4 linked regions of the Oryctolagus cuniculus genome follow. The protein of the gene in region 3 interacts with the protein of the main gene of each other region in a biochemical or structural test. Links are inferred from orthologs where the notes say so. Each region holds a gene or a part of one and is shown on either strand. Other genes may lie near its edges.

Region 1 (4,116 bases), on a different chromosome or scaffold from region 3:
CCTTGCTCTGTGCCCTTTACAGCTCACCTACTTTCTCAAAGATCCATTTACATCTAGCCCCAAATGTCCTACTTAGAACCCTCTGGGAAGGGGGACACAATGTGTATAAGGGGTCAAGAGACGGAAAATAAGGAAGTAGAAAGAACTAGAATGATGATGACTGCTCCAGCCCACCCCACCCCACCCCACCAGCAATTTTTCCAGGCTTCAATGAGAAATACAACCTCACCCAGACATCCAGCTGGGACTGGCCATGGGCCACGCCCAGGGATAAGACACCAGCCCTGCCTACCCATTCCCAGCAGGGAAACCGTGCCCACATTCATGGTTACGGCCATGCATCTAGCAGAAGAGTACGCATGATCGTTAGACTGGACCTCTAGCATCCTCAAGCTGGAAGGGACTTCGAAGAATATCATGGCCTTCTGCTTTCAGATGAAAATGCTGAGGTCCCAAAGGTTGAATGACTTGCCTGAGGTCACGCAGGACTGGGGTTGAACTGTGGTCTCTGGACTTCACATCCAGTGTTCTTTCCCAGTAGGCTGAGTTGCCTGCCACGCTCCCACCAGTCTAGAGCATCTTAGATGTTGAGCCAGGAATGAACAGGCTCTGAAGTCAGCAGACGTGTGCTACGGTTTCAGCCATACAACCCCGGGCAAGTGGCTTGATGTGTCTGTAACTCGGGGTTCTTGGTCAAATATTGCAGAAGGTTGCAACGAGTGTTAAGCCAACCAAGCTAACACCTCGTGCCTAGAACATGACGCGTTTGTTAAATGGTAGCAGCTACTTATTTTAGCCTGGCTCTTCAGATCTGCAAACTGTCCCTTCCCAGCAAGACCAAGAGAAGGCAGAGGAGCAGGTGCAGGTGCTCCAGTCCCTGGTTTGCTCTAACCCACTCCTGGATCCCTTCAGAGCTCAGAAGATGAGGCAGGTAGTGAGAGAAACACAGTGAGCAGGGCTTGCAGGGGAGCAAGCACAGAGGGCCAAGCCAATCAGAAAGTGGAGATAGAGTGGCAGGGTGACAGCCAGGCTTCTCCTGGGGAGAGGGAGCAGTGAGTCAGGTCGGCAGAGGTATGAGGAGCAGCCGTGTGGGTGGGAGGTGAGTCACAGCCCAGCCCTGCCCAGCCTAGAAGAGGGCCAGGAGAATCCAGAGCCATGGGTGACCCCAGAGCGCCAGTGTGAGAGTGGGAGCCCAGGCCCAGCGTGGGGGCACACTCCGATTTCTACAAGGCAGAAAGAGCGTGCAAAGGAAGCTCCGGGTGGGGAGGGAGGTCAGCAGCTGAGGAGCAGGCAGGGCTGGAACAGGTGGGACGCTTTCCAACCAAATATGGTCATTCCGGGGCTCCAGGCCCGGGCCCTGCTCCACCCTGCGGAATCACTGCAGGTGGCTGGCCAGGGAAGCTGGCAGGCTCTGTACTCTGCTCTGGGCCTGTGCCCAGTCACAGCCACACAGGCTGGTTGCAGGATCCCCACGTGGCCCTTCTGTAGGGACTCACAGCAGTCAGAAGTTTCCAGGCTTCGGGTAGCCCTCACAGACACCCAGCATTTCAACAGCTCCCTAGGGACCCCCGTGCCCATCACCCATAGCCTCCCCCAGAGGTGCTGGCCTCACCTACAGGGGCCGAGAGCGCCTCATCGCCTTCTGTGTTCCCAGCTTGGATGGAGGACCTACCTAGGCAGAGGGGACCCACACTGCACATTGGCCCTGTGCCTGGGCACCTCCAGGGGTGTTATCTTAAAGTGGCATTGGGACTCGCACCCATTTCACACAGGAACCCTAGGGACAGCAGCTCAGCCATTCCTAGTTCCCACCATCCAATTTCCCTCAGAGCACAAGTTGCCTGTTTCAGTTTGTCCCAAGGTAGGGAGCCACCTAGCAGGTGAGACCCAAGGACAAGACAGAGTGAGACCTGAACCCCAGGATACACCCAGTCCTCCCGTCAGGCTGATCAGCCTTTCCTCGGGGGTCCTCCTTGCATACCCTCGACCCACAGAGAGAATTTCGGATCAGCCCAAGCCGGTCAGAGGACAGCAGCCTCCACACCTACCTCTGTACAGATCTGCCTCTTCCAAGTCCGGTACTTCCGGGCCGAAGCCACCTCCTGGGGTTAGCAGCTGGTCCTGGTCCGTAGCTCCAGTGGGAGGGTCTGGGTTGCTGGTTCCAGTCGCCAACCCTCTCCGAAGCCGTTCCAAGCTGTCACCAGTCACCAACGCGGAGAGCACTGCAAGCAAGGGGCGAGGCTGCATCAGACCCCTACCCCAGACTCAGGGCCACCACGCACCGACGCCCACGCCCGCTCGCTAGCCCGCCAGGGCGCACGGGCCCCACCAAGTGGCCCGCGCCGGGGGCGCTGCAGCGACCTTCCTCCGTGCACCCAGCACAGCGCCCCCCTCCCCCACCCCGACCTCCGGGGGCGTCAGCAGCCGTCTCACCTGCAGCCAGAAAGAGCTTCAGCACCATCGACGGCAGCAGCTTCATGGTCGCGGACCGAGTGGAGGCGGCGAGGCAGCAATCACTTTGAAGGCGGCGGCCAAGGGGCCAGCAGGGGAGCCAGGCGAAGGGGCGCAGGAGATTCGCGGGGTACAGTCTGCCGCCCACCTCTGGGTGCACACCCGGCTGGGGACCCGCGCGCAGCTACCGGCTGCTGTGCGTCTGTCCGCTCGCTCCGTCCGTACGCCCGAGCCGCTGCACCTAGGTCAGGCCGAGCACCCGCGTGCGGCGCGCAGCTCCCTCGGCAGACTGAGCGCTCCCGGCGCGCGGCCGGGAATAAGGCTCCGGGAGGCAACCAGGCTCCGCCCCGCCCGGCGCCGCCCCCTCCCCCTCCCTCGCCGGGAAGCGCGCCCGGCTCGCGGCGCCGGCAGCGCAGCCCCCGACCCTGCGGGCGCGGCGGAGGCAGGGAGCGAAGGAGGAGGAGGCGGCGGCGGCGCTCACATTTTTGGGGACCAGGCCAGGGCCGGCGCGGCCTGACTGTGAGTAGGGCTGTTGGCCGGCAGGAGGCGGGAATCAATACCTACCTTTCCCCAAAAGCCTGTCGCTCTGCAGCCTTGTGACTGCTGAGCTGAGCTCTTGTTCCGGGTCTGCTCCCTTGGGCGGTCCTTACTCTCTACCAGGGGTCTCTACACGTGTCACCTTCCGAGATTCAGAAGCCCATTTTTGGGTCTACTAACACAGCAGATAGTAAATAATTATCTGCTTCTCATTTAAACATTAGGTGCCTGAACGCCAGCAGGTGTCAAGCTGGGGCGAGCCACAAAGTTGCAGGTGCTTGGTGTCAATCCAGCAAAACCCAAGGAGGTGTGAAGATTCTCTCGGAGCTGGAGTGGCTTCCCCTCACCTGTTCCCTGGGTCACAGCAGCAGGCTCAGGAAAGCCAGCTTCAAACTTTTTCTCGCGGTTTCCCCATACTTCTGCATCCCCACCCCCACCCACTCCTTTGAAAGTTCCCCTGGGACCGGGGCCTGGCTAACCTAGACTGCTGTGTTCAACAGGTGCCAGGATTTTGATGTGTTTCTCTTCCAGCCCTTATATTTTTACAGGGGTTTTCTGGAGTCACTTGTCCTGACCCAAAGAAATGACTCTCTCAGTAGATATTTCAGCTCCCAGGGACATGCTGGGAGGGAGTTGTTTGACACAGGGCTGGGTTGGCATTCGGAGCTCTCAGCTTGTGCCAGATGGAGCCCTGGCCTGATTCAGCCCTGTGTAGGGATAAAAACAGGCCTGCTATTTATATGCAGTCGATCCCACTCTCCCTCCCCCACCCCCATCTTTACAGGGGTCACTCTGGCTCTGCCCTCTTCCCTTGCCCCAGCAACCCTCCACCGTCCTAGGATTCCCCGGTGCACTGGAATCACTACAGACTTGGCTTTTGCATCCTGCCCTTGCTGCTTCCTCAATGACCTTGGATAAGATATGGAATGTCACTGAGCCTCGGTTTCCACATTTCTCAAATGGGGACAATAGCAATGATGATAAACGTGTGGAGAGCTTTTGGAGGACTCCCCCCACCTGCTGTTCATAAAGGAGTCTGTGCATACTGCCAACTGTCATCGCTGATCATTCCACTGGGACCCCTCTTTCTCTCCCTTCTCCTAGACTCCTTGCCTACCCTAGGCCAGG
Region 2 (4,168 bases), on a different chromosome or scaffold from region 3:
CTGAGCCTGGAGCCTGGAGCCTGGAGCCTGAGCCTGAGCCTGGAGCCTGAGCCTGAACCTGGAGCCTGGAGCCTGAGCCTGAGCCTGAGCCTGGAGCCTGAGCCTGAGCCTGAGCCTGAGCCTGAGCCTGGAGCCTGAGCCTGAGCCTGAGCCTGAGCCTGGAGCCTGAGCCTGAGCCTGAGCCTGAGCCTGGAGCCTGAGCCTGAGCCTGAGCCTGAGCCTGAGCCTGAACGTGAGCCTGGAGCCTGAACCTGAGCCTGAGCCTGAACGTGAGCCTGGAGCCTGAGCCTGGAGCCTGAGCCTGAGCCTGGAGCCTGAGCCTGGAGCCTGAGCCTGAGCCTGAACCTGGAGACTGAGCCTGAGCCTGGAGCCTGAGCCTGGAGCCTGAGCCTGAGCCTGAACCTGGAGACTGAGCCTGAGCCTGGAGCCTGAGCCTGAGCCTGGAGCCTGAGCCTGGAGCCTGAGCCTGAGCCTGAGCCTGGAGCCTGAGCCTGAGCCTGGAGCCTGAGCCTGGAGCCTGAGCCTGAGCCTGAACCTGGAGACTGAGCCTGAGCCTGGAGCCTGGAGCCTGAGCCTGGAGCCTGGAGCCCGCCCCCGGCCCCGGCAGTCAGGGACGCGGGGATGGCCCACAGCTGGCCGCTGGCACGCCGGGCCTTGCCCAGTCTGTAGTAATGAGAAGCGGCTTCGGCGCTCAGCTCTGTTTGCACAGTCCCCCCAGGGATGGCGGCCTGGATGGCCCGCTCACCGGTCAGACTTCCTGTGGTTCGGTGGTTTGCTTCTGAGTGCTAGCTGCTTCCGAAGCCCCTAAGTTGTTCGCCAACCACATGCTCTCCCCACTGTGGAGGGGACAAAGACAGAAATTTCCCAGATGTCTCCAAGTCAGGGCTGGGCCAGGCTGAAGCCAGCGGTCACTCAATCTGGGTCTCCCACGTGGGTATCGGGAACCCAGCCATCTGAGCCGTCTCCTGGTGCCTCCCGGGGTACCTGTTAGCAGGAAGCTGGGGTGCAGAGTGGAGCTGACTCAGCCAGTGCCCCCACGCGGGATGCGGTGTCCCAAGCCGTGGTTTAACTGCTGTGCCAAGCACCCAGCCCTGGAGGGGACATCTTGACCAGAGAGGCCAGGCGTGGGAGGGAGCCCCGGCCCTGCTGTCACAGCAGAGCCCGGGGTGGGGGGTGGGCATGTTTGGGGTGACCCCGTCTCCCTAGGCAAGCTCCGGAGGGGCAGGAGGGGTGGGGGTGGCCGCTTCCCCGGGGAGGCTCCCGATCGCCCCTCCTGTTGGCTGTGGGTCTCCCAGGCTCCCGCGACTCAGGCTGCTGTGGCCGCGTTGCTGCCTGTCTTCAAAGACGAACCTCCGTCAGGCCGCAGGCGAGCGCTTGCCTCAGCCGTGAGCGTGGGGTGTGAGGAGGGCAGGAGCAGGGCGCTTGCCCGGCGCGCGTTTGCTGCCAGTGCTGCGTGAGCCTGCCCTGGCGTGGCTGGGCCGGAACGTAAACAGTGTGCTGCGCAAGCCGCCAGCCGAGCCTCTCGTGGCGATCCCGTGTATCATCTGTCTGTTATGTAATGTGACAACATGGAGGTGAAATGGAAACCAGATGTCAGGGCGGGGCCGAGGGAGCCGTCCTCAGCCAGCGCCCGGGAGCAGGCAGGGCCTGGGCCGCCGCCCCGTGAAACCATCGAATGCCCTCGGAGGAGCGACTGCTGACGGGTCTCTGGGCACGAGCAGAAGTCCTGCCTGAAGGTAAAGTGCCGGTGGGCTAGGAGTGCCTCTGCGGGCAGACACGCGTCCCGGGGTTCCGGCGCGCTGCGGCCTGGTGACTTGTTAGCGGACCCGGGTTAGAATGCTGGGGCCGAGGGCTCTGGCCACCGCCCTTGGCCTGCGAGATGCCTCCAAAGGGCTCCGGATTAGGAGTGAAGGGGGGAGGTGTGGTTGGTCAGGGACTGGCTGTGTGGCCGGGGCCAGTGAGCGCTTACTGAGGGCTGGCTGCTCCACACTCGGGGCCCTAAAGAGGCAGCTCGCGGGCAGCAGAGGCCTCCGTGCTGTGCTGGGGGCCGAGCCCTGCCCCGCGCAGAGGTGGGCGCTGGGTGCCCTTGGGGAGTGAAAGGCACACCCCGTCCGTCAGAAGTGTGGTCTCCCTGGCTGGAAGCCGCCGTGGCCTCGGGTGAAGGCTGCGTGTTTCACTCGGACCAGAACCAGAGGCGTCTCCGCTGCTCTTTCCGTTCGGTCACGGATCTGCTGGGGAAAGCTGCGGCTTCCTCGCTGTGCTAAGGAGACGCTGGAGCGGAGCTCGGGGTGTGGCCGGGCCCCTCACCCTGGTTGGTTAAAGCTATGGAAGTGTTGCTTTCTCACTAGGAAGGGCTGTGGCCGGAAGCCACACAGGCGATCCCGCGTCCCGGGTCACCAGAGCCTGTGTCGGAGGTAGAAGGGGATCCCGGCTCCTTCCCGTCCCAAGGGCGGGGCTCTGTGCCGGGCTCTCCCGCTCACCGTGTCTGTGGGCCGTGGCTCCTGTGCAGGGGAGCGTTTCCTGGGTGCTGGGCCTGGCGAGATGTGTTCACGCAGCTTCGTCGTTTTAAAACACACCTGAGGGAGCAGAGAGGCTGGGGGGCCACGCCATGCTGTGCGGGAGGGGGCTGCAGCTGGGTCCTGGCTGTGCAGATGTCAGGAATCCCAGTGCTGTAGGGACAGGCGTGCGTGACGGTTCTGGGCGCTTCGGGCCGCAGCGTCTGGAAAGAAGTGGAGAACGCTCACCGGCCTCGCTCCGCTTCACCCGTTCTAAGAGGAAGCTGAGGAGGGGCCGTCGCGGCCGTGCTCGCCTAGAACCGGTGTGGCCGTCAGACAGTTACGCGAGCGAGTGCCCCGTCCGTGTTGGGAAGTGGACTTGGGGTGCTCAGTGAGCTGCCGGGGCGGGCCGCAGCAGTGCCCGTGTTTCCTGCGCAAGGACGGGGTGGGGGGGACATGCCTTTCTGCTCGCGGAGCACCCCTGCCCTGCGGGCTCCTGGCCAGCAGTGGGGACCTGGTTGTGACCACCTGGCCCCCGAGGTCTTGGGGCTCCCACCCTTGGAGGCTCCTCTCCCGCCTCCCTGCTTGGGCTGTAGGGCCTCACCAGGAGGCAGGCTCTTCAGTGTTTCATTTCTAAATATAGCCCCTGCTTCTGTTTTTAAAAATAGTTCATGCTTCCCGGAGGATCCTGGACACAGTTCCCATCCATCCCAGGGTGGCTGTTGGAACGTGGAGCCCACCCTGGGGCTCGGGGCGTTGTGCCCAAGCTCTCCTCCTGTCTTTCCAGACAAGGTGCAGGCCCAGTTGAGCATGGACGTCCTGAGGGCTCTACCCCCGGGGGTCGATGGAGTGTCTGAGGCCCAGGAGATGCTGGGATGGCACAGCCCAACCTGGCCAGCCCCTGGGGCCCCCACTCCTCCCTGACTCTCCAGACCCGGGGCATGGAGCTTCCCCAGGGAGGTGGACACAGGTGCAGCCCCCCCGCCCCCGCATCCCCATATACCCTGGACATCCCTACGGGTTCCTGTGGTCTCTTTGGAAAGTTTTCTCCACCAGTGGTGTCCTGGCCTAGGGGTAAGTGGGAAGTGGGGCTGTGGCTGCCTGGTGATTTGCTGGGGACATTGGGGAAGGGTCTTGCCTTGGCTATTTATTTATTTATTTATTTGAAAGGCAGAGTTACAGAGAGGGAGAGATGGAAGACAGAGAGAGAGAGAGAAAGAGAAAGAGAGAGCTTCCATCTGCTGGTTCACTCCCCAAATGCTGCAACAGCCAGGGCAGGGCAGGCTGAAGGCAGGAGCCAGGAGCTTCCTCCAGGTCTCCCACATGAGTGCAGGGGCCCAGGACTATCTTCTGCAGCTTTCTCAGGCTCATAGCAAGAAGCTGGATCAGAAGTGGAACAGCCAGGATTGGAACCAGCACCCACGTGGGATGCTGGCACAGCAGGGAGCAACTTTACCCACTACACCACAGCACCGGCCCCGTCAGTTGGCTCTTACACCACCACTCCTGTGTTACCAGGGCCTGGAGCCTGGGGGCTGTGGTTGAGCAGGTGTCCTGTGGTTTAAGTAAGGAGCCTTTTCCACTTTCGGTTCACATCATGAACATAAGGGGGTTAGGGTGGCTTGGCCCCTGGGGCAGGTGAGAGAGAGCAGCCCCGCCCCCTGGGGCAGGTG
Region 3 (3,500 bases):
AGACCCCCACCCACCACCTGGATGGGCCTACCTGTGTGTGAGCGCAGGTGGCGTTTCAGGGCCGTGTGGCTGGGGAAGGTGCGGTTGCACTCGCTGCAGATGTAGCTACGCACGCCTGCGTGGACCTCCATGTGCTGCTGGAGCGCGCTCTGTGCCTGGAAGCGCTTCCCACACAGCAGACAGAAGACGGCCATGTCTGTGCCTGGGAAGACAGCAGAAGGAAGAGCCTCAGGAGGTGGACACACAAGGCCACCATCAACCCATTCAGGGCACAGGGAGAACCAGCCTCAGGACTAGCACCCCCAGGTGCCCAGGCTCAGGAGCAAATCCGGAGGCAGCCGAGTCACCCACGTGGCGTCAGGGCTGTACAGTCGAGTCACTCACGTGGCATCAGGCGGAACCTAAAGTCTAGAGGGAGAAAGCTGTTAAGCAAATACATCACAGCGGCCAACCTGCCTCTGCAGTAGAGCTGGGTGCTATGCAGAAGGCAGGGTACTAAGGACACAGTGCAGAGGGGCTCTGCAGAATCTGCAGCAGGAGTGGAAGAGGAAAAACAATGATGAGGAAGACAGAGGCTTGGCATCGTTCTAACGTAACTCATTCTAAACCACAATTCCAAAAGGTAGGCTGTACTCACCTCACCCTTCATATAAGGAGTCTGAAGCACATAGAAACTGAGTAACTTGTGCAATGATCCATGGAGTTTCCAAGTGGGAATATCTCGGATATACAGCCAGCTGCCTGGATTTGAATTCTTTCCTAAGACCTGCTATAGACCCTAGGCTTTCAGCTACTTCTCCATTCGCTAAAGCAGGAATCTGAAAGGCCCATTCATTCAACAAATAAGGATGTCATTTTGGTGCCTTCTACAAGTAGGATGTTCTCTTTGGCTGCTCTGAGCCATGGCCTTCTTGGCTCTAGCAACACAGGAGCCCAAGTCCTAGATGGTAGCTCCTTGCCCACCATACTGGATTCCAGTTCTTTGGCCATGTCTGCTGGCTTCCTGGCTATGTCACTTGTGCTTAGCCCCACACCACTATCCCCTGGGCAAGGGACACAAAGCAGAAAAGGTGGTCAGGCCTAGCGCCTATCAATCAGCCCACAGCGGACTGGGTGCCAGGTCATCGTGACTAGGTATAGAACCAGGGAGTTTCTGGCGGCAGCTGGGGGTGAAGAGAGAGGACTGTATGATACACCTTGCTGCCTTCTCAGCCCAGCAAGGTAGACAGCCAATGGGCAGTCTGGGTCTCACCACATCAGTCCCATTTGTAGCTGAGTTTGGAATAGCCTGAGAAGACGGGGGCAGCCTCTGCCCAACCCCTCACATCCACCCATAGACCCCCCTTCCCTTTGCAGACACTGAATCCCAGGCCCCTGCAACCATGCTCCCCTCCCCAGCAGTCAGGGAGGCTGAGCAAGGGGTGGGGAGCACAAGTGAACACAGGATTCTGCCCCTGGCCCTCAAAGAGCAGAAGGGAAGGGAAACCAGTGCAGGCACTGTGCTAAGTACTTTATCTAGACGTCATCTCCTTTAAAACTTCCAAGTGTACCAGGCAGCCATTCTTACCCCCTTTCTTCAAAATGGGAAAGCAGAAACCAAATAACTTGGCTAAGGCCACCCAGTAGAAAGGGGCAGAGTTGGGATCTGGAAATAGCTTCGTCTGTCTGCTTTTAGAAACCATGGGGTTGAGCCCAGCTGTACTTCAAGGCTGGCACATGTCTGTCTGGATCTCCCCAAAAAAGGCACAGGAATGACAGCAAGAGGCACCAGTGCACCCAGGGCCTCCTCCAGGAACGGCTCTGGAGCTCTGGGCCAGGAAGAGTGGGTGGGGAGCTGGGTCACAAGGCACAGCCCTCCTCTGAAGTTTTCTAACACTTCTTAAAGCCAGCAGGATCTCTGAGAGGTTGTGATGAGGGGGCTGGCTCCACCTGATGGAGGGGGACACGCAGAGGGAAATGGTGTGCCTGGGCAGAGCAGCCCAAGAGCTGACAGTGAGTCCTGAACATACACAGGAGTGGAGTGCATCTGCAACACGTTCTGTGGCAATAGTCCCCGCTGCTTGAGCCCTGGGTCCTACCCAGGACTGGCACCCTCTCTGTCACCCCACAGACAGTCCCAATCAAGCTAGGCGTTCAAATATCCACCTTAAATCACCAAGGTGGAGCAGGCTTCCTGGGCCAGCCACACCCTTTAACAACAATCTTCTGAGGCTCCCAGGTCAGAACATGTATGAACACCATCTATGGCAACCCCAGGAGGACACCCCGGGCCTAGCAAGCCAGGCTCAGGGTACTCTTAAGTGCTGCTATCACTCAGCAGGGCAGACAGACTCCTGCAGCCATCTGCCCCTTTAGCCTTCCCAAGGTCCCTTGAAGCTGCCCCACTATGCCAGCCCTACTTCCCAGGATGGCCCAAGCCACTCGATATCCACTGAAGCAGGCACCATGCGAGGTGACCAGGGCAAGGCTGAGGTCAAGCAGAGAAAACTGGGTCCGAGACCAGTGGAGGCCACTGGCAAGCCAACAGAGGGTAAGGCAGGTGACTCTGGGGGCTTCAGGGAAGATTCTGAGTCAGGCTTTAAGAAATGAGAAGCAAGGACTAGGAGGTGGGCATATTTTCCAAGCTAAGGAAATGCCACAGGCCAATTTCAGAGCAGGTGGAGCCAGAGGACAGGCCCTGGGGATGGAGATAAGCGGGGAAGGTGACTGGGGCACAGGTGCCAGGTGAGACAGCTCAGATCATTCTACAGGTAACACAGCAGTGCCACACAGGTACTGGGGGTTGCCAGGGTCTGATGTCTGTGTCTCTCCAAAGAGCTGGATGCAGACATCCTAACCCCAAAGTGATGGTATTCGCAGGAAGGGCCTCTGGGAGTGTCCGGTCTGGTCACGAATGGGACTAGTGCTCTTATAAAAAGGACCCCAGAGGGCTCCCCTGCCCCTTGCACCAGGTGAGGACACATCACAGCCTGCAACCTAGAAGAGGGACCAGCACCTGCCCGCGCTCATCCCGATCTCAAACCTCCCAGCCTGCAGGACTGGAGCAACAGCTCTCTACTGTGCAGAAGCTGCTCACCTACGGTCAGTTGTTGCACAAGCGTGGTGCTGGCTCGGCATGGCCTGTGCCGGAGAAGGGCAGGGTCTCTGGCACAATGCAGGGACCAAGAGCCACGGCAAGTGGCTGGAAGCAGGAAGAGAGCCGATGGCTCTTGGGCTACCACTGGGAGAGGGTGGGGGCCAGATCAGGACAGGTGCTGTGAGCACAGGAAGAGGGGCGGAGAAATAAAATCCCAGGGAGACAGCGCGGCAGGACCAGGGCCTGGGATTGAGCAGGGAAGAAGAAACACACGTGGAGCTCCAGGCGGCCCGCTCAGAGTCTTGCTGACAGGTTCACCAGGTCTGCCTGAACCTCTGACCTGCGAAGGAAATGCTGCCGTGTCCTCCTAGTGGTCTCTCTCCACCTCCTAGGACATCCCACAAGGTGCAAGTTTTTCCCAAGC
Region 4 (4,080 bases), on a different chromosome or scaffold from region 3:
CCGTGTCCTTGGCTGGCCAGCTTCTCCCAGGCTCTGACAGGAGGGTGAGGTCATTCAGTCCAGAGACAGGTGTCCCTGGCTCCATGCCTGGAGTAGGGGGCAAGGAGGGGCCAGGAGAGGGCTCCAAAATAGCAACTGTGACATCAGGAAGGGGGAGGGGGATAGAGACCCAGGAATAACCAGGCTATTAAAAGGCTCCAGTGAGGTCAGGAGGCCAAGTGGGATCTCTACACTAGTGGGAGGTGTAAGCTGGGGAGGTGAGGCAGGCCAGCAGTGGCGAGGGCAGGCCCATGGCCCCAGGTCCCAGCAGGGTCCAAGTAACAGGGGCTGCTCTGCCAGCCCGAGGCTGGTTGAGGGGGGACTCTTCACTCTTCCTGGAGGGCTCCAACCTCAAATCATTTCCTCCTTGGGTGTGGGGATCATCGGACCTGTTCCGGGAAACCCAGGGCCAGCTACGTGCATTAACTTGCATGGGAGGCAGTGCAGTGTGGTGGTTAGAGCTCAGCTTTGCACCCCGGATGTCCCAGCCCCCTGTGTAAGCAGCTATGTGACCTAGGATGAGTGACTTCATTGCTCTGGGCCTCGGTTTCCCTACCTGTACCTCACTCCCGAGGTCATCATGCAGGATAAATTAGGTGATGTGTATGATGCTCCCAGCAGCGCACGCGACATGCTGCCAGGGAAGTGCTTCCTGTGCTCTGAGAACTGGCAGCTGCTGTCTGGTCCCCGTCCCCTTTCCTGGCCTGGACTGAGGCCTGCCCAATACGAGGCTCCCTGCCCCCTGGGAGGCAGCCCCTGGAGGCCAGCACTGCAGAGAGGACCGGAGGGAGCTGCCATTGAGTGTCTGGCTGTCCAGGGGGCTCCCTGCTGGTTGAGGGGGTGGGGAGGGCAAAAGTTAAACAAATCCCCAGGCAGCTGTTGAGAGAACTCCAGGCAAGGTGCAAGGTTAGGCCAGGTGGCCGGGTGTCTGCCAGTCTCTCCCAGCCCCTTCCATTTCTTTTCCTGCTTTGGGTGGCAGGACCAGACCAAGTCTGACTTCTTGATCGAGCCCCTTGCTCCCAGCCCACGCCCGAGTACCCTGGCCTTGGCCCTGAGTGCAGGCTCTCCCCCGCTCCCATCCCCCTCGCCTGGCGCTTCCTCCTGGGGTGGAACGCGCCTCCCCCATGGGGCCTCCGCCAGGCCGGGCTCCTGGCAGCCGGCCGGCGGCTCCCTGAGCATGCTCCACCTATTTATAGACAGGGCCCTCCCCCAACTGCTATTTCAGTCTCCTGCCAGCTGCCGGCGGCTCATTCGGGAAGGAGGAGCAGGGAGCCAGGCCCAGAGCTGTCACCCGGGGCTGGGAGGGAACACAGAGAGCCCGTCTGCCCAACGAGCTCCTCTTCCTGTCCCCTGAGTGCTCAGCCAGACCCCAGCTCCTGGGAACTGAGGACGCGCCAGTGGTCGGCGCCCCTCTGGGGAGAGCTAGGCCACGGTTCCAGGGCCCCGGGGCCCCTCCTGCCCCTGCCACCACTAGGAGCGCCCAGGCCGGATGAGGCGCCTCCCCACAGTGCGGGTCCCGGCAGCCGTGGCCTCAGGGAGCCCCTGAGCAGTGCAGACCGCACCCGGCACCTTCCCCGCATCGGCTCCCCGCCTCAGGCGGCCCCTCCCTGGCATGCTGCTGGTGCCCAAGGCGCAGGGGCTGGTGGAGATGCTGCAGACCATCTACGAGACGGAATCCTGTTTCTCAGCAGATGGCATGTCAGGCCGGGAACCAGCCCTGGAGATCCTGCCCCGGACTCCTCTGCACAGCATCCCCGTGGCAGGTGAGTGCCTCGGCGCCCTCCTTGGGCTCTGTTCTTGGGCATCCTGGTCCCTGAGGCAGAGCAGCTGGCTCTGAGCCCTGCCCAGGTGGGCTCCTGCTTCAGGCTCTCTCGAGGGTGGCGGTGAGCATCCGTGGGGCTCGGCAGGGGGCAGGGCAGGGTGCTCACAGGTGGCTGCCTTCCCCCGGGCCACGCAGCTGCACCACGCTGCATCCCTCCCGTCCCTTTGGCTTCCGGCAGGGTCTGTCCCAGCTGCTGGGGGCTGGGGATTACTTGAGGCTCCTGGCCTAGTTGGCACCACGGTCAAGGGGGAGGAAGTGGGCCAGAGACCTGGCTCCAGGCTGCCTGCTCCCCAGCTTGGGGCAGGGGAAGACGCTGAAGCGACCCAGCTGCTTCGGCTGGTTTGTGCTGGGTAGAGGGTCGAGTGCAGTGATTTCAGCAGGTCCCCAGTCAGGCGGCGTCTGAGGATCGGACACTGTGGGGGAGATGCTGTGTGGTTGTGGGGGGTTCCACAGAGGCTGGCGGTTGGCGTGCGGGGGGCGCGGCTGCCCCGGCTCCCGGCTCCCCCATGTCTCCCCTCTCCCCGGGCCTGGCCTCAGCCCCACCTCTCTAGGATGCAGAGGCATTGCTCTGGCTCAGATGGGCTTCCGGACCCCCAGCCCTGGCTGCAGGATGGCCCCTTCCCCGGCTGCCTTCGCAGCAGCAATGCTTTCAGCCCTTGGCTGGGGGTGGGGTCCCCCAGAGCCGGGCCACTCCTTCCCTCACTCCCAGGAACCTGTTGGCAGCATCAGGCCTTGCTGGCACAGCCTCCCCACCAGGCCGGCACCACAGGATGCTTCCTCCAGGGAGGAGCCTGCTGGACCCACGCCCACCTGCCCCTCCTGGCAGTGGCTTGGCACTGTGTGTGTGTGTGTGTGTGCGCGCGCGCGCCCGTGCATAGGGAGTCCTTGCCTCTGGTTACGTGGGTGTGGATCCCAAGCTTCGAGTTAGAAGGTGGGAAGTGTGTGCCTCTGCAGGTTCCTGTGGCTCAGGGCTGGCTAGGGAGAAGGTTACAATGGAACTGGGATGTGTCAGAGGATGAATGTTTTGGGAAGGGTTTGGAAAAGCCTTGGCACATGGCCTGCCACCTGCCTGGGCAGGGATTTCCGTGCGGCATCCTAGCGTGGGGGCACAGCGTGGAGACCAGCCCTGCAGGGTCCATGCAGGCCCCTGGGACTAGGTGGGCGTCCACAGAGGCGCTCACTCGTGCCTACCCAGTTCTGAGCTTGAGCTAAGGACCTTTCTGGCTGGCTTTCAGCCTCTGCGACTCCAGGCAGTCTCTTGCAAAGCAAAATGAACAGTCGCCCAGAGCATCTGCTGGGGGCAGCTCTACCGGCGGCCACACCAGCCAGCCCATCCCACCCCGCCCCTGCTGCTCGGTAGCCTACAAGCTGCAGCCAGCTCGGGCCCAGGGTTCCTCTTCACATTTCGAGGTAGACCCCAGGAACCTCGCAGGCCACAACCCTGCTCCCCCAGCCCTTCGCTAAGCCCACCTGCCCTGGCCCCCCCGCCCCCGCCGCTGCCCGGCCTGCTGCGTGGTGGCATGGTCCATGCTGGCAGGGGAGAGGCGTGAGTCACCTCAGCAGCTCGGGGAGAGGCCGAGGAATGTTCCCCCTGCGCGGCTCTGATGCTGTGTCTGTGACGCGGCTCGGGACAGATATAGGCCTGGAGCTCGGCGGCCTTGTTTTTTTTTTGGACTCTGGAATGTAAATAGACGTTTCAAATAGAAACACTTTAACCTTTGGGTTAAAAAAAAAATCCTCCCTGGATAAACATGGCCATGAGGGCCCAGTCAGCCTGGTGATTCCCTCCCCACCCCAGCCCCTCCCCCGCCTCCCGGTCCCCCTCCTGATCCCTCTGCAGCCGGGATGCAGGGATGCGCTTTGGGGCTGAACGTGTCGCACAGGCGTCCCTAGCCCAAGGGGTTGGGACGAGGGGCTCTTCAGGGTGGTGGCAGCTGCTACCTCTAGCAGCAAGTCGCAGGAACCCTGTCTGGGGGGCGGCCTTCTTCTTTGGGGAGTCTTGCTCACTGCCATTGCCCTGCGGCTACCATAGTGCCCGGCCCTGGGATGAATGAATGTTACAGGAAGGGCTGGGGTTGCTGGCCAGGGGCTCGGCCCTCTGGGTGAATAGCCAGCTCCAGTGTGTCGCCCCAGCAGCTGAGCCGTGGAGCCTGGGGCTCTGCTGTTGTTGCTTCAGGGGCCTGGGGTGTGGGAGGTGAATCTTGGCGTCCACCCGTGGT

Evidence for each region.
Region 1: the proteins of ZBTB16 (region 3) and HBEGF form a complex in vitro, tested with the Homo sapiens proteins (2 studies listed by BioGRID). The link is inferred for Oryctolagus cuniculus from reciprocal best matches to the Homo sapiens genes ZBTB16 and HBEGF.
Region 2: the proteins of ZBTB16 (region 3) and HDAC4 form a complex in vitro, tested with the Homo sapiens proteins (2 studies listed by BioGRID). The link is inferred for Oryctolagus cuniculus from reciprocal best matches to the Homo sapiens genes ZBTB16 and HDAC4.
Region 4: the proteins of ZBTB16 (region 3) and HDAC5 form a complex in vitro, tested with the Homo sapiens proteins (2 studies listed by BioGRID). The link is inferred for Oryctolagus cuniculus from reciprocal best matches to the Homo sapiens genes ZBTB16 and HDAC5.

The regions. Positions count from the first base shown.
Region 1 is NC_091437.1:28,000,317-28,004,432, forward strand, and holds the start of HBEGF (proheparin-binding EGF-like growth factor), read right to left. Parts: upstream 2,801-4,116; 5' UTR 2,480-2,800; coding exon 2,434-2,479; intron 2,223-2,433; coding exon 2,049-2,222; intron 1-2,048. UniProt on the Homo sapiens protein: Growth factor that mediates its effects via EGFR, ERBB2 and ERBB4. Required for normal cardiac valve formation and normal heart function. Promotes smooth muscle cell proliferation. May be involved in macrophage-mediated cellular proliferation.
Region 2 is NC_091434.1:1,481,123-1,485,290, forward strand, and holds the start of HDAC4 (histone deacetylase 4), read left to right. Parts: upstream 1-1,368; 5' UTR 1,369-1,675; coding exon 1,676-1,736; intron 1,737-4,168. UniProt on the Homo sapiens protein: Responsible for the deacetylation of lysine residues on the N-terminal part of the core histones (H2A, H2B, H3 and H4).
Region 3 is NC_091432.1:106,123,740-106,127,239, reverse strand, and holds part of ZBTB16 (zinc finger and BTB domain-containing protein 16), read right to left. Parts: intron 203-3,500; coding exon 32-202; intron 1-31. UniProt on the Homo sapiens protein: Acts as a transcriptional repressor. Transcriptional repression may be mediated through recruitment of histone deacetylases to target promoters. May play a role in myeloid maturation and in the development and/or maintenance of other differentiated tissues.
Region 4 is NC_091448.1:19,129,351-19,133,430, forward strand, and holds the start of HDAC5 (histone deacetylase 5), read left to right. Parts: upstream 1-1,280; 5' UTR 1,281-1,651; coding exon 1,652-1,802; intron 1,803-4,080. UniProt on the Homo sapiens protein: Responsible for the deacetylation of lysine residues on the N-terminal part of the core histones (H2A, H2B, H3 and H4).